3 linked regions of the Oryctolagus cuniculus genome follow. The protein of the gene in region 3 interacts with the protein of the main gene of each other region in a biochemical or structural test. Links are inferred from orthologs where the notes say so. Each region holds a gene or a part of one and is shown on either strand. Other genes may lie near its edges.

What was found. The genes of interacting proteins can lie anywhere in the genome.
Region 1: the proteins of ARHGEF16 (region 3) and TAX1BP3 form a complex in vitro, tested with the Homo sapiens proteins (2 studies listed by BioGRID and IntAct, with this or other methods). The link is inferred for Oryctolagus cuniculus from reciprocal best matches to the Homo sapiens genes ARHGEF16 and TAX1BP3.
Region 2: the proteins of ARHGEF16 (region 3) and DLG1 interact in a test that uses a peptide from one of them, tested with the Homo sapiens proteins (2 studies listed by IntAct, with this or other methods). The link is inferred for Oryctolagus cuniculus from reciprocal best matches to the Homo sapiens genes ARHGEF16 and DLG1.

What each region holds. Positions count from the first base shown.
Region 1 is NC_091448.1:48,983,392-48,991,053, reverse strand, and holds TAX1BP3 (tax1-binding protein 3), read left to right. Parts: upstream 1-3,245; 5' UTR 3,246-3,460; coding exon 3,461-3,499; intron 3,500-5,401; exon of another isoform or gene 5,402-5,574; intron 5,575-5,814; coding exon 5,815-5,934; intron 5,935-6,265; coding exon 6,266-6,343; intron 6,344-6,426; exon of another isoform or gene 6,427-6,592; coding exon 6,593-6,730; 3' UTR 6,731-7,541; downstream 7,542-7,662. Other genes in the region: EMC6 (ER membrane protein complex subunit 6), read right to left, coding at 2,519-2,899, 3,100-3,207. UniProt on the Homo sapiens protein: May regulate a number of protein-protein interactions by competing for PDZ domain binding sites. Binds CTNNB1 and may thereby act as an inhibitor of the Wnt signaling pathway. Competes with LIN7A for KCNJ4 binding, and thereby promotes KCNJ4 internalization.
Region 2 is NC_091435.1:83,756,478-83,763,999, reverse strand, and holds the start of DLG1 (disks large homolog 1), read left to right. Parts: upstream 1-3,105; 5' UTR 3,106-3,473; coding exon 3,474-3,561; intron 3,562-4,003; exon of another isoform or gene 4,004-4,034; coding exon of another isoform or gene 4,035-4,053; intron 4,054-4,702; coding exon 4,703-4,834; intron 4,835-7,522. UniProt on the Homo sapiens protein: Essential multidomain scaffolding protein required for normal development. Recruits channels, receptors and signaling molecules to discrete plasma membrane domains in polarized cells.
Region 3 is NC_091438.1:162,949,128-162,956,031, reverse strand, and holds part of ARHGEF16 (rho guanine nucleotide exchange factor 16), read left to right. Parts: intron 1-1,128; 5' UTR 1,129-1,138; coding exon 1,139-1,711; intron 1,712-4,600; coding exon 4,601-4,646; intron 4,647-5,069; coding exon 5,070-5,236; intron 5,237-6,111; coding exon 6,112-6,168; intron 6,169-6,421; coding exon 6,422-6,582; intron 6,583-6,904. UniProt on the Homo sapiens protein: Guanyl-nucleotide exchange factor of the RHOG GTPase stimulating the exchange of RHOG-associated GDP for GTP. May play a role in chemotactic cell migration by mediating the activation of RAC1 by EPHA2.

The sequences.
Region 1 (7,662 bases), on a different chromosome or scaffold from region 3:
CTACTGCCTTGGAGGACTTATTCAACCTCATTGTTTCCTCAAGGCCAGCCCAGCCTTCCAGGCGGCCTCTACTGCGTGTCCAGGGCCCCTGGCTCTGAGATGCTTGCGGCCCTGTCCCAGCCCACGGGCAGTGCTGCACTGTGCCCGCGTCTCACCTTTCCCCTGCACAATCTCACTGATCTACAGACTGGCCGCTAGGGGGCAGACGTGAGGCAGGAGCGGCATTGCTCAAGCCCTGTTCACTCTGGGCCCACACTGCTTCCCGGGAGGGCGAGAGCTCCCGCCCCTCAGGAGCTCCTCCCGCATCTGTGTATCGCCTGAGTGTCACGCTTGAGCCCAGCCTACGCCTGCCCACCTGGTATTTTCCTAGAGATTGAGAAATGCCTTTGGGCGCACCCTGGCTGGTGGGAGACTTGTACACTGGGTGGGCTCCGTATGACATGACGGGGACCCAGCTGAGAGAGAGCCAAGTGCCCTGGCCCTGATGCTGGGGTCTTCCTCCTTCCTCCGCGGGAACAGCTGTGAAGGGGGAGCAAGATCTCTGGGTGTCAGAGCAGCCAGCCAGTGCTCCCACATCGCGCCACGTGGAAAGGCGTCTTCAACGTCTGGGAGGGCTCCTTCTGGTCTAAGCCACCCCCTCCCTAGAGCTGCAGCTCCCCTCAGGGCAGTCACCTGGGGCCCCAGGAACACCTGTTCTCCCCTTTCTGCCTGCTGTCCCCCGAGGCCAGGGAAGGCGGCAGAGACCGTGGGGGGCGTCCAAGATGTGCATTCTCGGATACTTTCATGTAATTCTAAAACAATAAATAAAAGATGTCCATTTTAAACCTGGCCTGATTTTAGAAGAAGAGACTGAAAGAGGCAGACCCAACAGTGAGTAAGCACTGTAGCATGTTCCTCATTATCTGGCAGAGAAATTCAAACTCAAGCGTGGAAACCCTTGAAATGGGCCTATGTTATGCGTGAAGACTGGGAAGGCACGGGTCAAACTGACACTTTTCAATCAACGAGTAGAAGCTGGTGACTCCGGAACCCAGCTTTTAGCCTGTGCCCGGGCGGCCTGTTAAATCCCCTCAAAATGCTGCGAACCGGAAGGCACTCAGTGCCCAACAGGGCAGGGTCTGCTCAAGGCCAGGCTTCCTGCCGCCTCTGCCTCAGGACTGGCTCTCCCTCCCCCTCCAACGCCTGGAGAGAGGGGCAGGCGGGCAGACCTGAACCGGGCGCTTCAGGGGTGGACGGAGGAGCAGCTCCTTGGCTTTGTGCCGAGCCTTTGGCCTGGGGCCCGGACGGAATTCAGGCCGGGTCCCAGATCCCCTTCCATGGTCGGCCGGGGCCACCTAGGCTCAGTAAATGAAACGGGCGCTTGGGTCCAGGCTCTTGAATTCCTGTCCCATCTAATGATGAGACAGCCCCTCCCCTCCAGGCTGCAGACGCAGCGGTGTCTGCTGCCGCGGTCCTGGGCCTCCACGTCCCCCTGGGCTGGGCCAGGGCCCTACCACTCTCTCCTGATACCACTCACCACAGAGAGTATTGCTCTCCCCAGGCAGACTATCAATTCTTGCAGCAACCTGTTCATTACTGCGACTCTGGAGCAGTATTTACTTCTCGATTAGGCACTCGCACTTAAGATAACCCTCCTGAAAAGAAAGGTGATGGATTAACACAGGCAGAGGTATCCCCATGTTAAAACACCCAGTTTAGCTTGGATTTGCTTTTTCTTATGGGAAAGGCAGCACAGTGTCGCCAGGTGAAAGGGATCTGAAGTGACACAGTTCTCCCTCCAGGCACACTCGGCCAACGAGAGCAAGTTACGAGACCAAGGCCTGACACCTGGCCCTGGGCCTTCCCAGCGAGCAGCATTTCTGGTCCTCACTGAGCCCCAGCCACAGCAGCCCCTTAGTGAGGCAGTAGACTGCCAGGAGCAAGGGGGCTAGAGGCCGGCGCTGTGGGTTAAAGCCCCGGCCTGCAGCGCCAGCATCCCCTGTGGGCGCCGGTTCCAGTCCCGGCTGCCCGACTTCCAACCCAGGTCCCTGGGAAAGCAGCATGCACCCGGAGACCCAGAAGAGGCTCCAGGTCAGCTCCAGCTGCTGCGTCCATAAAAGGGAGTGATAAATAGTGGATGGAAGATCTTTCTCTCTCTCCCTCCCCCTCCCCTCACTTCCCTCCCTCTCCCCCCTCTTCCCTCCCTGTAACAAATTAAAAAAATAAACAGAATCGAGTGAGATCAAAGCCCACCCAGCACTACCATGCCGTCTATAGCTCCTAGACGCTACCCCAAGCTGGCCAGGTTAGCGCCCAGTCCCCAGCCCCCACCTGTTCGGCTTCCGCACCCAGCCCGTGCGCTAGAGGAGGAGAGAGGGTCCAACAAAGCGTCTCACACTTCATTTAATCTGAAAACATTACGGGCTCGTCGTCCTCAGAGATAAGTTATGTATAACGTTACAGAACAAGCAGCGAACTCAACACTTTGAAAACCTCGGCGAGTCTACGCGGAGCGCCGCCGACCGGGTCCCGCCCTCGCTCAGTAGACGTGCACCATGCCGTAGAGGAAGGTCCAGAAGAGGACGTAGGTGAAGAGGCCTCCGATGAGGCCGCCCGTGAAGAGCGGCCGCCGCGACTTGAAGTACTTGTTCCACCGCCTGCCCGCCTTGAGGATCAGGAGCAGGGAGAGCAGGACGGAGGCGAGCAGGTAGAAGATGAAGCCGTAGAGGCCGGTGAGGCCGAGGATGCCGGCCGTGGCCCCCGACAGCGCCGACACCGAGGTCCGGCAGTAGTCCAGCACGGCCGCGTTGCCCCGCACGGCTGCCTCGCTGATGAACGGCGGCCCTTCCCTCTTGCCCACCACCGCGGCCATCGCACCCGCCGGGGCTCGGCCTGGGCTCTCTCGCGGAACGAGGCGCGGCTGTGGGGAAAACCGAGTTACAAGTGGCGCCCGGAGCGCGGCGAGTAGGGTCCATGGCCTCCCCCTCCCCCTGGGGCTTCCGAGACCTGGCGCTAGTCCTGGATCTCCGTCTCCCCAAAGACGCCGAGGACGCTGACGGCTCTTGCCGGCCGGGAGAACGGGGACACGCCTGTGTCCCCTAGCCAGGAGAGCCCCGTTACCTGGAACACGGCGGGCGGATAGTCCCAGCGTTCCCTCACACAGGAAGCAGGACAGACCCCCGGGACGCCATCTTGTGCTGGAGGATGCTGGGAGGGCCCGTTACGCATGCGCGCTGGCTCAACTACGCCTCTCGCGCCTGCGCGCCGGGCACGCTCCACCCTCTCCCCGCTTTTCTACGCACGCTCCGGGACTTCCGAAAGCCGAACAGCGCTCCGGCCGGTGATTGGCTGGAGATCTGTTAACTATTCATAAGGGGGCGTGCCCAGCCAGGGTGCCTTTGTTAACCAGGGAGGGAGCGGCCGCGGCAATCCCAGCTGCGGGCTTCGCTGAGCGGTCCCCGGTTACCAGATTGGGATCGAGATGTCCTACATCCCGGGCCAGCCGGTCACTGCGGTGGTGGTGAGTGTACTCGCGCGGGCTCTTTTTCGTCTCGACTTGCCCCCATTTTTCAGAGCGGTAAACTGACACCCAGTCAGGTTGCAAAGCAGCGAACCGGGGCGGGGGCCCGTGCAAACCCGCTGTCAGGGCTCGGGTCTCTGCAGGAGCGCGGCCGCAGCCTCCTCCGGCCACGAAGCTCATTCTGGGGGCTAGGAGCCTCCCGAGGCTCCAGACGGAGGCCAGACTCCGCGCACCGTCGCCCAAGAGGCAGGCTGCTTTGGCCTGCCGGCGCGGGGAGCACGGGGGAGCAAGGCTCCGGATGCGGGCGTCTGGGAAAGCGCCCCTTCGCAGGGCTTCGGTGCCCCCAGCTGGGCAGCCGCGGGGGGCGGGCGCCGGCCCGACGTCCGTGAGTCGCAGCCTCTGGAATGAGGAAGTGCTTCCTCCGCTCCAGCCGGCGCCACCGCCCCGAGGAGCGAGATTTGGGGGTGGGGCTGGCCGGAGGGAGGCCCCTGCCCCATTGGAGTGAATGCGCACCCTACCAGCCAGATCCTTTTCTCAGCTGCTGGATCCCCAGCCCTTGGGGCCAGGGGCAGGTCTCCCGCCTGGCACTTTCGGCGCACCGTGTGCCAGGTGCTGTCAGAACAGGCGAAGGGAGAAAGGGAGCTGACACCCACACGTCTGTGTCCCAGCTGAGTAGGCCCTGGAGGCCACCCCCTCCCCCTCCCGCAGAGTCCCAGAAAGAAGTCCGGTTACGCCCAGCCATAAAGGAAGCCGCCAGGAAGGACCCAGGTCTCCTGCCCAGCTCCCCAGAGGTTTCCGCCTGTGAGAGGTCAAGCCAAAGTCCCAGCCCTGGAGCCGCAGGGACTGGCTGTGCTATCTCCCATGGGCTCCTGCAGCCAGGCAAAGAGGCTGCTGATAAAGGTGGCACGAGGGTGAACTTGGAGAAGGCCCTGCTTAGCTACTGACAGCCGTCCTGAGCCTCACCCTGCGGGCACCAGCTTAGCTCTGCAGAGCCCAACAGCTGCCCAGAGGCTAGGGGTCAGCTTTGCTTCTCAAGTGGAATAAAGGTGGTGCAAGGGAGGGGCCAGAGAGCACCCAGCGAGGCAGTGCCAGAGCCCTCCCACCTCAAGGGCTGTGCGCTTTTCTCCCTTGAGGGCATGTGCTGGAGGAGGTGGGATGGACCTGCAGGAGCCCTCTTTTGGGTACTGGACCCAGTGGGCCTCAGGGTTCATGCTTCCTCCTCCCCACCCCATGCCACAGGTGGGCCCAAGGTCTTCCTTCAGGCTGTAAGACTATGCCGCGCCCAGGTCTGCAGCACCAGGAGCCGCCTGGGTGGGCCTGGCCTCTCCCTGACCATCTGCCTCCTGGACACCTTCCCGGATGGCTCCTAGCACTCCAGCCCCACCTGCTCCTTCTCCTGGGTCCCCCCATTGGAATGTTGCCGTGTTCAGCATTCCTGTCCCCAGGCTTCCACCCCAGCCTCTGAGGCACCTGCTCTGACTGCCCAAGTAGTTGTTCTAGCCTCAAACTTGACCATGCCCTGTCCTACTCCCCAAGCCTGGTCAGCTCCCCTGGGTTCCAGGGTCAAGGCCAGGCAGCCAAACTCCTGATCATCCTCTCAAGTCCTGGTTCAAAATGATCCCTCCTTGGTGAAGCCTCCTCAGGGCCGAGCAAGTCACCTTCCCTCCCCCCCAGCTCCCAGCTTTGATCTGGTGTGGCTCCCAGCAGTGACTTGAGGGTGCCTGCTGAAGGCTCTGAGCACCCCAGCCCCAGAGCATGTTGGGAGAGCCCCAGAACACTTCTCTGCCACCTGCACTGTGCATGAGCAGGGCCCGGGGCTCCAGGAGACCCCTGACCTCATCTGGGACCAGTCTGGTGGTCCTGCATCCCAGACTTCTCTGTCTGGCACCAGCCCCATCTCACCTTGCAGGTGCCAGTGTCACAAACGTCCAGCATCTGCAGTCCTCTTCTGTCCCCGGCTGATCTGCTCCACTTTGTCCCAGCACCTCCTGCCTTGCTTGTGACAGGCTGGCTCCCAACGGCAGTGTCACCTTTTCAGGGCCTGGCCCTTCCCACCCCGTGTCCTAGGTGGAGCCCTGGCTCATAGGCCAGGAGGGGCTGTGAGCACTTGTGACTAAGACTGGCACCTGAGACTGGGAAGGGGGAAAGTGGAGGGCAGGACTGGGTGAGGGGGTCAGCCTCCAGGGCTGGGGACCAGCTGCATTCCTGTAGGGGACTCCGGGCCCCACCCCTTGGCACGGCTCGGAGCTGGCCTGGCACTACCAGAGGCCTTCTCTACATGCCCACCTAAGCCAGCTTCCTTTTTTGTTTGCCAGCAAAGAGTTGAAATTCACAAGCTGCGTCAAGGGGAGAACTTAATCCTGGGCTTCAGCATTGGAGGGGGCATTGACCAGGATCCCTCCCAGAACCCCTTCTCGGAGGACAAGACAGACAAGGTGAGGGGGACCGGAGGCCTGAGAGGGTGGGCACTGCTTCCTGGGCCTGTGTGGGAAGAGCAGACCCCATCTCAGAGGGTCCAGGAAATGATCGGCTGGGAAAGAGTAGGGGTGGAGGTCGGTCTGCCCAGCTGCCCAGGAGGAGCGGGAGGTGGCCCTCAGCCAGGGCTGGGGCATCCCTGGTTGCTTGGCATAGCCTTCACCAGCTGTGTGCCAGGGGAGGCTGGGGACAGGGACAGAGGGACAGCTATGGGTGTGCTATACTGGGCCTCCTCTGTGTATGAGAGCCAGTCCAGGGGCCACAGGGCCTGACCCAGGCTTCTCTTCCCAGGGCATTTATGTCACACGGGTGTCTGAAGGAGGCCCTGCTGAAATTGCTGGCCTGCAGATTGGAGACAAGATCATGCAGGTAACAGGTGTCCCAGAGGAGGAAAACATGGCTGGGGCTAGAGGGGTTGAAACACTTGTGGGTGGGGGCTGGGAGACACTCACCAAAGCCCTTTGGAGCCCATGCTGGTACTGCCCCGGAGGAAGCCGGCTCTCCTCTGTGTACTTCAGGGACGCTAGGTGGAGGGGTGACCCAGGCCTCTTAAAGCCCCCTGGCCTCTAGATGTCAGAGGGCAGTGGGCTGAGCTGGGCTGTTCTCTCCGTGGGCCAGGTGAACGGCTGGGACATGACCATGGTCACACACGACCAGGCCCGGAAGCGGCTCACCAAGCGGTCGGAGGAGGTGGTGCGCTTGCTGGTGACGCGGCAGTCGCTGCAGAAGGCCGTGCAGCAGTCCATGCTCTCCTAGCAGCCCGCCAGGCTCCCTGGCTCGTGCCTGTTTGTATAGCGACACCACTACCCACGCGCTATCTGTCCCACGTCCCGCCTGTGGCTGAATGCTGAGCCGCAGCTGATCCCAGAGGCCTGATCCCGCCTCCCTGTCACACTCCCGCCCCCAGCCCGAGGCCTCTGGGACCAGCTGGCTCCCTCGGAAACTGAGGGCTGGGAAGAAGGGTCTGGGGCCAAGTGGCTTCCAGGCTGCAGTGACCCTAGGCTCAGCCCCCAGACCCTGCTGCCTGCACAGCAGTGCCCCAGGGAAGCCGGAAAGACTTCCTGAGAGCCGCCAAAGCTGGGGAAGGCTGGTGGGGGGACGCCTTTCCCACCCTGCCCTGCCTCCCGTGTCACCTCCGCAGTGCCTGCGCCCCACACTTTCTCCGTGTTGTCCACTAGGGGCTGGACCCATGCTGCCAGAGGCACTGGGAAGGCCTGCCCCAGGGGAGGCAGGCAGGCCCCTTGTTCACCCCACTTCCCAGGGGTGGCCTCCCTGGGGCCTGCCTGCCTGCAGGATTTAGCAGAGCTCTGAGGCGGACATCTCAGGATTGCCACTGTCCTCCACGCCTGTGGGTTTAACTTTTGTATTTTTTTAGTCCAACTTTGATACAAAGCCTTTTTATTGTACTGTTTGGAGATGCCCACTCTGCTCTGTAATTTAGCTTACTAATTCACATCCAGGGCAGCTCCTAGCAAGTGGACAGGCCTCACTCTGGTTACCATGGAAACGGGGCTGGAGGCCACTGTTCCACCTCTGACATCTGCCCAATAAACAACGCTGGAATCCATGAGAGCTCTTTGCCAGGGCTGGGGGCGTGGTGTGTGCGGGTGGCTCAGGGCGAGCACAGGGTGGCTGGCTTGTCCCTGGCTGCTCTGAGGCAAGAAGACAAGGCCCGACCATTCCCAGGT
Region 2 (7,522 bases), on a different chromosome or scaffold from region 3:
CAGAAAGGTCTTCCATCTGCTGGTTCATTCCCCCAAATGGCTGCAAAGGCTGGAGCTGGGCTGATCTGAAGCCAGAAGTGAGGAGCTCCTTCTGGGTCTCCCACGCGGGTACAGGGGACCCAAGCACCAGGACCATCTTCTTGCTTTCCCAGGCCATAGCAGAGAGATGGGTCGGAAGTAGAGCAGCTGGGACTTGAAGTGGCTCCCATATGGGATGCTGGCATTGCAGGCTGGGGCTTTAACCTGTCGTGCCATGGCACTGGCCCTCATTATAGGATCTTTTTGTTTATTTATTTATTTTAAAAGTTTTATTTATTTATTTGAAAGGCAGAGTTACAGAGAGGCAGAGGCAGAGAGAGAGTCTTCTATCCGCTGGTCCACTCCCCAGATGGCTGCAATGGCCAGAGCTGTGCCGATCTGAAGCCAGGAGCCAGGAGCTTCTTCTGGGTCTCCCATACGGGCGCAGAGGCCCAAGCACGTGAGCCATCTTCTCCTCACCCAGGCCATAGCAGAGAGCTGGATCAGAGGTGGAGCAGCTGGGAGTTGAACTGGTGCCCATATGGGATGCCGGCACTGCAGATTTTAGCTTTATCCACTATGCCACAGTGCCGGCCCCATGCTAAGTTTTAAGCTACTCAACTTTGGGGAATCTGTTCTGTGGCAACCAATAACTCAGACAGATAGAAAGGAGAGTAAAGAGTAATGATGCTTCCCACGTGGCCAGAACCTTTCCTGGCCCTAAGTTCGGGCTAGTGTGAGGTCCAGTCCTGCTTTTGGGCACTCCTGACAACTGAACAGGGTAGTCACAGTAGATGACTTGATAAATAACATGCCCTATTTTTCTCCTCATCCTCACACAATTTGTTTTTGACCCCTTTTCTGGCTTCTGGGAAAGTTGTACTGGCTTTTGTTTATCAGCCATGAGATTGTGGATCCTTGAGAACAGATCCTGTGTCTCATTTCTTTCTCTCCCCATTGCCTAGCAAGCGCACACGTGAGAGTATTTTGAAAGATTTGTGAAGAGAGAGCATTTGGTGTAGTGGTTAAGACCCACTTGGAACAGCCCCATCCCATATCAGAGTGCATGGGTTCAAGTCTTGGCTCTGCTCCTGACTCCAGCGTCCTGCTAATGCACACCCGGGTGGGCAGCAGGTGATGGTTCATGTATTTGAGTCCCTGACAACCACATGGGAGACTTAGATTGAGTTCACTGCTCCCTGCTTCAGCCTGGCTTAACCCCAGCTGGTGTTGGCATTTGGGGAGTGAACCAGCAGATGAGAGATCTCTCTCTACTCCTCCCTACCTCTCGTCTTTTAAACAAATAAAATAAATAAAAATTAGTTTTTAAGAAAATCAGAAGATTTGTGAAAAACAGAAGTAAAAGATAAGCTTATTTGGCGTAAACAATTTTGAAATCCATGCAAACAAGGGTCTTCAAAAAGTTCATGGCAAATGGGTATTATGAAAATGTGCAAGTATCATTTTTGGCATTACAATGTTTTAATTCTATTTTCCATTAATATTTTGGAAGCACCTTTATATGTGAATCATGAGTAGTATCAAGGGTTACAGCAAACTTTCCTTCCTCTTCTCTCATATTTCAACACGACGCTGTCAAGTTCTCCAAAAGCCTGGTGGAAAGAGCCCTGGCCTGCAGAGGGAAGCCCCGAGTTGTTGGTCTGCTCTGTCACCGAAGAGCCTGCGTGTCCTCGGGCAACTTGCTTCCCCTTTGTGGAGCTCAGTCTCTTCATCAAGACCGAGAGAGTGGGTCTGGATGATCTCTAGTGTGTTCGGCGTCTCCCCAGTTAGGATTCCAAGGTGCATCAGAAAGTGAAACCCAGGGGTCAGCAGCGCGGAGCCGCAGCTGCGGTTACGGTACGAGGCTCCCGGGACTCCCCGTTATTAGCCAATGGCCACAGTGTGAGGGGAAGGCAGTCGGGTTCACCGGGAAGAGTGTTCCGGTCAAAGGACAGAAATCTCCCGGTTTCCAGCTCTGTCACTAACTCTGGTCAAGTTTTCCTTCGGGACCTCAGCGCAGGGAGGTCCCGCTTCCCCAGAAGAAGCGGAAGACCTGGCAGTGACCTGGGGAGCGCTCAGTACCTCCCCTTCTGCCGCCCGCAGGGCTCCAGCGGGCCGGCGGTTCCGCTCCGAGGTGCGCGAGAAAGTTGAAGGGCGCCGGGCCGGCGGAGGTGAGGTCTTAAAGGGGCCTCCAGAGCCTGAGCCACGCCTGAGGTGCTGGCTGGGCGGGGACGGCAGGCTTGGGGGGATGAATGCAGGAATGAGCCAGTGAACGAGGAACCTTCTCTCGTCACCCTTCAGTGCGCTCAGACTTGGGACCCAGACCTCAACTTAAATATCCTCTATTGAAAGCCTCAAACTCGTGCCACATTTCCCGGTCTCCCTACTGCGCATGCCCTTCTTTAATGAAAAAGTCTCAAACCTTTAAAGTGGGGCGCATAATAACTTCTAGACAATCAGTAGGACGGGGAAGGTGGCCTGGAGAGGGCACCCCCGCCCCTCCCCACCCCTCCTTTCTCCTCTCCCAAGCGCCGGCTACCCCGCCCCCTAACGTGGGTGGCGCCGTGGGCTCCTCCCCGAGTGGGGTTTGCGCAGTTGAGGAGGCACCCCGGCGGCGCCAGGCGCCCTGTCCGGTCGTGGAGTTGGGTGGAGCACGTGTTTGGTCAGGTTAAGGGGTGTTTCGGCATGTGCGTTTGGGACCCAGTGTAGATGGGGTCGCGTCCGTCTTCAGAGACCCCGAGCCTTTCCAGTCCCGCACGCTGCACCTCCAGAACCGCGGGGCACACGGTGGGGTGCAGCGAGGTAAAGGGGCAACCCCGGACCACCTGTAGAGTCCGTGTGTCAACTCCTTTGTCCTCCGAGCCTCTTGGGCGGCCGCCCCTTTAAGCGAGGAGGTTCACTCGGGATGCTCCCCGGGCCCCCCTTCGCGTTCCCCAGCCTCCTCCCGGTCCTCCTCCCCTTCTCAACCCTAAGGTAGCAGTGCTGAGAGCCCGGGGCTGGGCGCGAGCCGCCTCCTCACTTCCCATTGGCTGCGAGCGCCGGGAAAGCGGTCACGTGGCAGCGCGGCAGTCCAGCTCCGAGGCCGCCATCTTGGCGGAAAGTTTGGGGGGAGAGCGACCGGGGGCGCGGAAGGAGGCGAGGTTCCGGGGGTGGGGCGGCCAGCAAGCGAGAGGGCGAGCGGGTTAGCTGGCCGCGGCGTGTGAGGAGGCGGCGGCTGCGGCGGCCGAGGAGGAGGACGAGGCAGCGGGGGTGCGGCCGCCGAGGGGAGCTCCTCCCCCGTCCCCTCACCCCCTCAGCTCAGCTCCTCGAGCCCCGGGCGGGGCGGGGGTACGTGGAGCCGGGCTGGGCGGGGGAGCTGCTGCGACTCGGCCCGGAGCGCACCCCAGCTCCGAGTGCACGCCGCTCGCGGGAACTTTGTGGCAGCGCCGCAGGTGTGGGGGCCCGCGGAGGTGTGCATGTGGGGCGCGAGGGCGTCGCGGAGAGCGGCCGCTGCCCTGTCCGGACCCCGCCGGAGTAGCCCGGAGGAAACAAGCAAGGAGAAAGGCAAGCGAGAGGAGGGGGCTCGGGCAGGGCTGGGTCCCTTTTCCGAGCGCTCGGTGCCGCTGGCGCCCTAGGGGCCCAGGGTCGGAGCGCCCCTATACCCACCGCCCCCGGGGGCAGGTGGGGAGGCGGCCCCTCGGCCTGGCAGGTAGTGTGCTCTGTAAGGTGGGGGGAAGCTTTTGTAGAGAACTGGGAAGCCGACTTGATTGTCTGGTCTTCATTGGCGGGGGGATCCACCCCGAGGAGAACGCTTTCTACCTGGGCTGACACTGCTGGGTTTTGAGGCTGTTCCTTTCACTTGGGAAAACTTTGGAAGGGGGGCTTTGGATAATAGGGCTTTTTTTTTTTTTTCGGTTGGAGATTTAACGAGGAAATGCTAGTTTCTGCTCGATTCTATTTTTCAGTTTTGTTTTGTTTCCTCTCTTTCCGTTCTGTGTTTGCAAAGGTGTGTGCGGGCTTCCTGATTCTGGAGAAAAATGCCGGTCCGGAAGCAAGGTGAGGATTTATTTCAGAACACTCTTGTGGATGTCAGTTTTGTGATTGCTGTGTTGAAAATCTTTGTGTAACTTTGACGAGACACTGTGGAGCTAGTGTCATTGCTTGGGGAATCTAAGCCTCACATCATTTCAAAGATTGACACCTGTTCAACTCTTCTTCCTCTAGTAAATTCCAGAGGCAGTTAGTCCCGCCCCCCCCCCCGCCCCTTTAAAAAAAGCTCTGAATTGGTTTTCAGTATTTCACTTTATCACTCTTAGTAAACACTATTGGGTGAGCAGCTGTGGGATGCTAAGAGTAGTATTTTGAAACGCTTAAAATTTGAAGTATAATGACAACTTGTAGATAATCTGCTTTTGCTTATCAGGTAATCTGAAACGGTGCTGCTAATACTTGCATCAGACACTCTCACTGTGACAGACTAACAGTACATATCTGTTATACACTGCTTCCTTCCTTCCTTTTGCTACTGGGATGCATGTTCCAACAGTTTTCTGATCATTTTGGAGAACAGGTGTACATGAGCATTTTGCCGTTGATTGACCTAGAGAAATTGCAGAACTGCTCAGATGCCTTGCGGAATCATGTGCACTAGCATGCAAAGTTTGTAAATATGTATACACTTTTAATCAGTCTCTTCTTTTCTCAGATACCCAGAGAGCCTTGCACCTTTTGGAAGAATATCGTTTGAAACTAAGCCAAACTGAAGACAGACATCTCAGAAGTTCCATAGAACGGGTTATTAACATATTTCAGAGCAACCTCTTTCAGGCTTTAATAGGTAGGAATTAAAACTTTATTTGTGACCGTATGTGTCAGCTGGTTATGCTCCTCTGAGTTCAATTATTTAAACTTAAGAGAATGATATGTACTTGATTTTCTATGTGGCAGTTTGAACATCTTCATGGTTGATGATGCTTATCATGGTTAGGCTAGTATCCTTTCTAGAATTATCTAATAACCAAAAATAATCCACTTTAAGTAGAATTATTTCAGTCATTTTGAGAACAGTGTTTCATATTCTTGCATTAGCTAAAAGATGGAGAAGTTGCAGAAAGTTTCAGGACTCAGAAAGCAGCGACGGAATCATTAGCAGCTTATTTTCTGTATTTGATTTGTATTTCTCTGGCATCCTTAGGAATATTTGGGTGTTTCTGCTATGTTCAAGAATATTCTCTTAATATAGGACTCTGTGTAAGCTTGGCATTTATGGAGCCAGAAATTTAGATCTGAAAAATGATCTCAGAGATGATCTTTTTTTTTAATAACTATTTTGCAGACAAGAACATTGAAACAGAATTTTATTCATACTAAAGATTGAGGTGGTGTATTGTTTTAAAGGAGACTGGATAAATAGTCAAGGCCCCAAATTCAGTTCTTGACACTACCATTAATTGAATGATATTACACATGTTTTTTAACCTTTTCTAGAACTGTAGAATGTGAGTGGTGAAATATAACAGTGGGTTTTAAGTCTTTTTTTGTTAGGTAACTAGATCCTTTTTAAAAACAGAATTGTGTGTTTTGTATACACTCCCTGTTACATAAAATGTAGTGATAGATAAAGTGGCTGGGATATCTCTAAAAGTTTGCAAACCACTAAACTAGAAAATTTGTACCAGGGGCCAGCGCCGTGGCTCACTTGGTTAATCCTCCGCTTGCGGCACCGGCATCCCATATGGGTGCCAGGTTCTAGTCCCAGTTGCTCCTCTTCCAGTCCAGCTCTCTGCTGTGGCCCGGGAGGGCAGTGGAGAATGGCCCAAGTGCTTGGGCCCTGCACCCGCATGGGAGACTGGGAGGAAGTACCTGGCTCTTGGCTTTGGATCGGCGCAGCGCCAGTGTGGCAGCCATTTGGAGAGGGAACCAATGGAAGGAAGACCTTTGTCTCTGTCTCTCTCTCTCACTGTCTATAACTCTACCTGTCAAATAAAAAAAAGGAAAGAAAATTTGTGCCTTTCAGTTCTAAGAATAAAATTTTAATTTTGAAAAAAAAAAAAGATTTATTTATTTATTTGAAAGGTGGAGTTAGAGAGGCAGGGACAGAGAAGTCTTCCGTCCACTGGTTCACTCCAAATGGCTACAGCAGCCAGGGGTGGGCCAGACTGAAGGCAGGAGCTTCATCCTGGTCTCCCACGAGGGTGCAAGGACCCAAGGATTTGGGCCATCTTCTGATGTGTTCCCAAGCACATTAGAAGAGAGCTGGATTGGAAGTGGTGCAGGTGGGACTGGAACTGGTGCCCATATGGGATATTGGTGCTGTGGGTGGTGGCTTAGCCCTCTATGCTACAGTGCCAGCGTCTTAAAAATTTATCTTTTTAATTAGTCATTGACTATATAACATTTTAAAATACAGAGACATAGACTTCATGGTGTTAGAAATATTTCCTCAGTAACTTCCAAGCAGATATGGTCTTATGTTTTTCTATTGATTTGAGGACTACCTTCATTTCGGTGTTTCCTGATAACTTATTGATGAATTGATGTTTCTGGTTTATTTTAGAATTTTTTTTGAATTTTTAAATAATTTATTTACTTGAAAATCAGAGTTACACAGAGAAGGAGAGGCAGAGAGAGAGAGAGAGAGAGAGGTCTTCCATCTGCTGGTTCACTCCCCAGATGGCTGCATCGGCCGGAGCTTCGCTGATCTGAAGCCAGGAGCCAGAGACTTTTTCCCAGTCTCCCATGCAAGTGCAGGGGCCCAAGCACCTGGGCTGTCTTCTACTACTTTCCCAGGCCACAGCAGAGAGCTGGATTGGAAGTGGAGCAGCCGGGACTTGAACCAGCATCCATATGGCATGCCGGCCCTGCAGGCGGCAGCCTTACCTGCTGCGCCACAGTGCTGGCCCCTAGAATTATTTCTTACGAAGACTACTTGATACAGCTACTTGGTACACCTGAACAGTTTTAGAAATTTAACATTCTCAAAGACTTTCAAAAACATATATAAGAATAGAGAGCACAGTGTAGTGAACTACCACATATATGTCACCCATCTCAAAACTTACCAATATTTTTCCATTTGTGTTTATATTGATAGACTTTTTTACATTTAAATTTTTAAAATAATCTTTGTCTTTTGAAATTTTTTTTGTGTTTTATTTATTTAAAAGGCAGAGAGACAGATCTCCCATTTGCTGGTACATTTCCTAAATCGATAAGCCAGGAGCTCAATCCAGGTCTCCCATGAGAGTGGCACAGGCAATGGCTTAGGTACTATCTGCCCCACCCACCTAGGTTGCTCATTAGCAGGAAGCTGGAACTAGGAGCAGAGCTGGGACTGGTACCTAGGAACTCTGATAAGGGATGCGGACCTTCCAGTGGTATCTGAAGCATTATGCCAGACATCTGCCTCTGCATTTTGGTTTCTAAGATCTGAACTTTAAGGTCCAAATGGATGACTAAATTTGATTCCTCTGGAAAAAAAAAAAGGGGGGGGAAGGATAATTTTTTAGTTGTTTTATTTAATAGG
Region 3 (6,904 bases):
GTTCGAGTCCCGGCTGCTCCACTTCCCATCCAGCTCTTTGATGTGGCCTGGGAAAGCAGCAGAAGGTGGCCCAAGCCTCTGGGCCCCTGCACACGTGTGGGAGACCAGGAAGAAGCTCCTGGCTCCTGGCGCAGCTCTGGCCGTTGCGGTCACTTGGGAGTGAACCAGGGGATGGAGGGCCTCTCTCTGTAACTCTTTCAAATAAATCTTTTAAAACAAAAGTTAGTTTGCACCAAAATAATCTTAGGAATTCATGGGCACGCGTGTTAAGCTACACGTGTGGCTTTCAGCGCTCAGCGCTCGCCCCGGATCACCTTAGGCGCGCTCGGCGGCCCCAGCGTTTGCAGAACGTGAAGGGAGGAGACGGGGCCGTGTGATGTCCGCCAGGCCCTGCGCCGGGCGTGTGTCCCGGGGCCGGCGCCTCTACAGCCACACGGTGACGGGGGCCGTGCAGGCTGGCTTCGCAGCCCCATCCCAAGTTCCCAGCGTGGTGAGGGGTGAGCCTGCGTCCTGCCAGGAGCAGGGGCCCCGCAGACAGCCCAGGGGACGTGTCACCGCCGGCACTCCCTCCAGCTTCAGACCTGCCCTCTGTGCTGTCGGGAGGCAGGGTGGCCTCCTGGGTGTGGCAGGTACCGCCTGCCCCCGTCCCGCCAGCGGGGCCCTGCAGGCGCGGCCCTCTTCCCGGCCCTCCTCCCTGCCCTCCTCCCAGCCCTCCTCCCTGCCCTCCTCCCAGCCCTCCTCCCTGCCCTCCTCCCTGCCCTCCTCCCTGCCCTCCTCCCGCCCTCCTCCCTGACCTCCTCCCTGCCCTCCTCCCGGCCCTCCTCCCAGCTCTCTGGGCCAGGAGCAGGTGTGAGGCTGCTCGGCCTGGCAGTGACAGGGCTGCGCCCACGGCCAGCGCTCCCGGCTGCCATCAGACCTCTCACTGTGGACTGTGGGCGGGGCACACGCCAGGACAGACAGGTGGCCCCCGGGGGAGGGGGGCAAGTGGGCGCCTCCCTCCTGAGACCCCTCCCCCTCTCCCAGGACCTGCCCGGTGGGCGCCTCCCTCCTGAGAGCCCTCCCCCTCCCCCTCCCCCCCAGGACCTGCCTGGTGGGCGCCTCCCTCCTGAGAGCCCTCCCCTCCCCCAGGACCGCCGCCATGGCCCAGAGGCACTCTGACAGCTCCTTGGAGGAGAAGCTGCTGGAGCACCGCTTCCACTCAGAGCTGCGGCTCGATGCCAGCGGGAACCCGGCACCCGCGCTCCCCGTGGTCCGGGGCTCCCTGCCGGCCCGGCCCAGCGCCGCCTTCCAGCCTGACGCCCCCGCTCCCCCAGGGCACGAGGAGCCCCCACCGGTCATCCTGAGCACGCAGAGCCCCGCCGCCCTCAAGATGGGCACCCAGCAGCTGATACCCCGCAGCCTGGCCGTGGCCAGCAAGGCCAAGAGCCCCGCCCGGCACCAGAGCTTCGGGGCCGCCATGCTCAGCAAGGAGGCCGCCCGGCGGGACCCCCGGGTCCTCTCGGCCCCCAGCTTCTCCCTGGACGACATGGATGTGGACACGGGCCCCGGGGGGATGCTCAGGCGGAACCTGCGGAACCAGTCCTACCGGGCAGCCATGAAGGTTCTGGCCACGCCAGGCAGCAAGGGGGACCCCACCCAGCTCAGCCCCCGGCTCCAGGCTCTGGCCGAGGAGCCCAGCCAGCCTCCTGCCCGGTGTCCAGCCAAAAACAAGGTAGGGGACCTGCTGCCCGGACGCGGTGGGGGGTGCCTCCAGGGCCTGGGAGCGCACAGCTGGGGGTGGGGTCCTGCCCACCTCCTGCAGCACCGCTCACGTTCAGTGAGCACCTGCCGTGCGCAGGCTCTGGGCTGGACTATTCCAGTTAAACCCAATAGCCAGGCTGCGATTGTGAATAACCCACTTTACAGACAGGGCAGCCGAGGCTGGCCTCCAGCTGTGTCGGCCCCGCTCCCAGCCAGTGGAGAGCAGAGCCCCCGTGGGAGCCGGGCCAGCTCGGTGGGACTCAGCAGCCACCCAGAACGAGCTCCCTGCCCCCTCCCCCACTCACCAACTCCCACGTCCAGCAGGCGCTTCCTGAGCGCCCCCGCAGGGAGGGGCAGCTGCTCGCCCTCCCCTGCCTTGGGAGGAGCTGCATTCCCTCTGCGTGCATGCACACACATGCACAGGCACACACGCACACATATGTACACACATGCACAGGCACACATGTACATACATGCACAGGCACACACGCACACACATGCACAGGCACACACGCACACATATGTACACACATGCACATGCATGCACACATGAACACGCATTGCACGGGCACATGGAACACACAGATGCACACATGCACAGGCATGCACACATGTACACACATCCCGAAACACACGCAAGGACACACGTAACACAAATGTGCAGATACTTACGATCGCATGTACACATACAGGTATGCACATAAGTGCATAGACATGCACACATAGGTGCACACATATACACATAGGCACACATGTACACATGCCCACATATACGCACATGTACACAGGCGTGTACACATAGGTTCACATGCCCACATAGGTGCACATATGTACACACAGGCACACACGCCCACATAGGCACACATGTACACACACATATACACACGCCCACATAGGTGCACTCATGTACACACAGGCGTGCACACACATGTACACACGCCCACACAGGTGTGCACGTACACACAGGCGTGCACACACACACACATGTGCACGCACAGCCTGCTTTCCCGGGCTGGGTACCGCAAGCAGCGCCCCTTGTCCCCTGGCCCAGGGTCAGAGCTGGGCTGCCGCAGCTCCTGGACCGTGTCCCTTGCCCTCTGAGTCACCAGTCCCCTGTGGCCCAGGCTGGGTGTTTGCTGTGGGCAGCCACCGAGCCGGAAGACCGGGCACAGTGAGCCTGGCCCCTGGGCACCGTCCTCCAGGTCTGGGGCTCAGGGTCCTTGCCTGGGGGTGGGGTGAGGTGGGCGGGCCCGGGCCTGGGGGTCACTGGCGGGCACCTCGCTCGGTCTGTGCTGGAAGCAGCCCAGGCTCGTAGGCTGCCTCCGAGAAGGGCCTGGGTGCGCTGTGGCTGCCGTGGGACCCTGGGCCTCGGCGTACTCACGGGTAAATGCGGGTGACGAGTGGAGCTGGCACTGCCCCACCCCGGCCCTCCTGAGCTGCTGGAAGGCGGCCAGGGCTGCTGGGAGCGCACAGCCTGTGGGAAGTGTGCATTCGCTGGGCGCCAGCTGCAGCCCCAGCCCTGGGAGACGCTGGGACCGGCTGTCGGAGGGTTGGCCCCAGCGTGGCGTCCCCGGTGCCAGCCCACCTGTAGACAGCCTCCTGCTCGGTGGCTGCTCACAGACAGCCCAGGCCTCCGGCCCCAAGTGTGGTGACAGAGGGTCAACCCGAAACCCCCGCGGGCCCCCGGCTGCCCGTGTCAGTCCTAGCTTTCTGCCGCTATGGGGGCAGGGACAGCCCCGTGCCCACCACGGTCAGGCCCCCAGGAGCCACTCGTGCATCCGCTGGTGTTTCTTAAGAGTGATTTATTTAAACACAGAAAATCTTCCACCCACTGGTTCACCCCCAAATGGCCACGATGGCCGGGACTGGGCCACGCTGAAGCCAGGAGCCCAGAGGTCCATCCTGGTCTCCCGCGTGCGTGCAGGGGCCCGAGCACTTGACCATCGTCGCTGTGTTCCCAGGCCATAGCAGGGAGCTGGATCAGAGCGGAGCAGCTGGGGTGTGACCAGGTGCCCTGGCGTGAGATGCAGGCATCGCGAGCGGCAGCTTAGCCCGCTGCGCCGCAGCACCGGCCCCGCGCACTCACTGGGGGTCCCACATCCAGCGAACGTTTCCCCGGCCCCCCCCCCCCCCGCTAGGATAACGCCCTGAGCCTGGTGGGCGCCGTGCCCGACCCGGAGAGCGCCCAAGGCAGGCGGCTGGGCACTGGGAGCAGAGGAGGCCCGGGAGGAACCTGCGGGAGGGAGGCCGGGACGGGCGGACGAGGTGGGGGAGGGGCGGGGCCACGCCAGGGCCCAGCCCCCGAGGAGGGCGGCACGGGGGTGGGGCGGGGGGGTGGAGGGGACCTGGCCAGGTGTGCTGGGAGTGCCGCACCTTCCCAAGCGGCGAGGGGAGTTTCAGGTCCGAACTCGTTCCGAGGAACCAGCCCCGGCTTTCCCGGTAGCCGCACACCTGCCCGTCGTGTGGCCCAGCCAGAGGGGGGCTCCCCAAGGCCCCCGGTCACCGCCTGCACCCTGAACCTCAGCCGCTGGGGTCCCCAGGCTCTTCCTGCTGCCCTGAGAGGCCCCACCCCCCTTCCCAGCCGCACCTGCCCTGCGTCGGCTTCACTCCAAGCCCACGCCCTCCCCAGCATACCTTGTCGCTAGCTCAACCTTCCTCCTCCTCCAGGCAGCCTTCCTGGGCTCGCCCAGTCCTCAGTCACATGTCCTACCTGCTCTGAGCCCCATCCCGTGCCCTTGTGGAAGTGACATACATTGGGCACCGTCTGCATACTGGGCAGGGCACCCCACACACACACACTGGGCCCAGCTCTGCACGTGGAGTCCGGACCCCCGGCTGACGGCTGTGTTTCTCACTGCAGAGGACGCTGGGGCGGAGAAGAGCAAACAAGGGCTCCTTCAAGGACGGTGAGCGGCTTCGGGGGCGGAAAGGCCGGCGCTGCCGCCGTGGCGCTGGCTGGTGGGGGCCACGGGACCTCAAGCCCACCCTGACCTTCCAGGGCCCGAGGCCCCCACAGCTGCTCTGACCGCAGCTCTGCTGGGGGCCAAAGGTCCAGAAAGTTCCCCGGGGTTCCAAGGCAAGGACGCGGCCCAGTCCCTCCACGGATGCCCGGCCCGGCCCGCGGTGGCCCTGCTGGTGGTGGGACCGAGGCCAGGTCAGAGGGCGCACCTGCTGTGTACCCCGGCTCGAGTCCGTCAGAGGGGAGCCCGCTGGCATCGGGGGCTAGGAGGGGGTGGTAATGGCCGCGCACGGGCCTGCTGGGGGTGGGGGAAGGCGCCTGCCCCGCCCACAGCCCGCACCCTCAGGAGACCCCCTCCTCCCTGCCCCAGACCCCCGCTTCTACCAGGAGATCCGGGAGCGGGGGCTGAACACCGGCCAGGAGTCGGACGAGGACGTACTGGACGTGCAGCCCGGCTCCGAGGACACGCCCAGGGCGGACCACATCGTGGTGGAAAGCTACCGGCCGGCCCAGCTCACCTGGAGCCAGCTGCCAGAGGTGGGGCCCTGCCTGCTGCGCCCAGGGCGGCCGCGGGCAGCCTTGCCGGAGGGCCCCACCTGTGCGCAGCTGGCCTAGGGGTCTCCCCCAAGCCGCCCTGCCTGGTGACCCCCGGGAGAGGGGAGCCACCCAGGGCCAGGCAGCTCCTGCCACCACATGTGTGGGTGTGGGTGGGCGTGGTCAGCGCCCTGCTCTCACTGACCTGCAGGGGGCGGTGGGCACAGAGGGGCGGGGCCTGAGCTCGAGTCCGGCTGCCCCTCGCTCCCCACACCTGCAAACGGGGCTGGTGGGGGCCTGGCTGCGCGCAGGGCTTGAACCACAGCCCCGTGTGTGAGGAAGTGGGTGCTGCTTCCCAGGAGCCCAGGCGGGATCTGGACCGCCCGCTGGGCCTGGCCCGCTCTCCCGCTGGGGTGCAGTGGGGCTCCTTCTCCACCTCGTGGATGAGGGTCCCCCGGTGCTTCCAGCCGTGGGGGCTCAGCCAGGGAGGACGGTGTGGGTCTCCCCCAGGCTGGGTGGCACGTGTGACAATCAGACCCTGGCCTGGGGGAGCTGCAGGCATGGGGGCTGGCAGCCCCGGGGGGAGCGGAGCACGGCTCACCCCGAGCAGGTGGCCCACGGGGAGCCAGGCTGCAGCCCTGCAGTCCCGTCAGCCCTGAGCCCTGCAGGGCGGAGCTCGGGCAGTGCCCACTGCGCTGGCCGTGTCGCCTTCCCAGCATGCACTGAGCCACGGCCCCACCTCCCCCGCCCTCCCCGTGGCCCTGTTCTTTGCGGGGAAGGTGTTCGGGACCAGTGCCCCTCCCCGCGCTGGACGCCCTGTTTCTCTCCGGGGTCTCTGGAGGGCGCAGCCTCCTGACTCCGGGCTGTGTGCTCGCCAGGTGGTGGAGTCGGGCATCCTGCACAGGCTGACCCCAGAGGAGCGCAAGAGGCAGGAGGTGAGGGCGTGGGGCGGGCTGGGTCTGCCGTGCGGGGAGGGCCAGAGCCACACGGACGGACAGTGCCCAGGGGCGGCCTCCACTGGGCTCTCAGGATGGCTGCGCCCTCGCCCCATGCCAGGCAGCATCAGAATCCTCGGGCGAGGGTGGGCGTCCCTGCCCCGGGACGGTGGGCTCCCGCTCCCGGAGGGGTGTCGCGACAGCCATGTCGCCAGAGCCGGGAGCCCGCCCGCAGCCTCCGGTCCCGCCGCAGGCCATCTTCGAGATCCTCACGTCCGAATACTCATACCAGCACAGCCTGGGCATCCTGGTGACCGAGTTCCTGCAGTCTCAGGAGCTGCGAGCGACCATGACGCAGACAGAGCACCACCACCTCTTCTCCAACATCCTGGACGTGCTGGCCGCCAGCCGCAGGTGAGGCCCCGCCCCGCCCCGGCACCTGCCTCTGGCGGCCCAGGGGAGCCGTGGTCTGCACCTGGGGTGGGCGGCTGGCTGGGTTGCGGCGTGACAGCCTCCAAGAGGTGGCTGTGGGCATCCCGGAAGTTCACTGGGGAGGAGCGCTTCCCCCAGGGCACAGCCGCGCCCTGCTGCCTCCAGCCCAGAGGGCCCTGCGGCAGGTGCTCACTGGCCCAGAGCGGCCTCGAGTTGCAGCCCCGGGTCGTCTTCCACCGCAGGTGTCTGGTGGCCTGACCGGGCTCCCGTTACAGGGCTTGTAGGTGCAGGAGGGCCTGGGTGA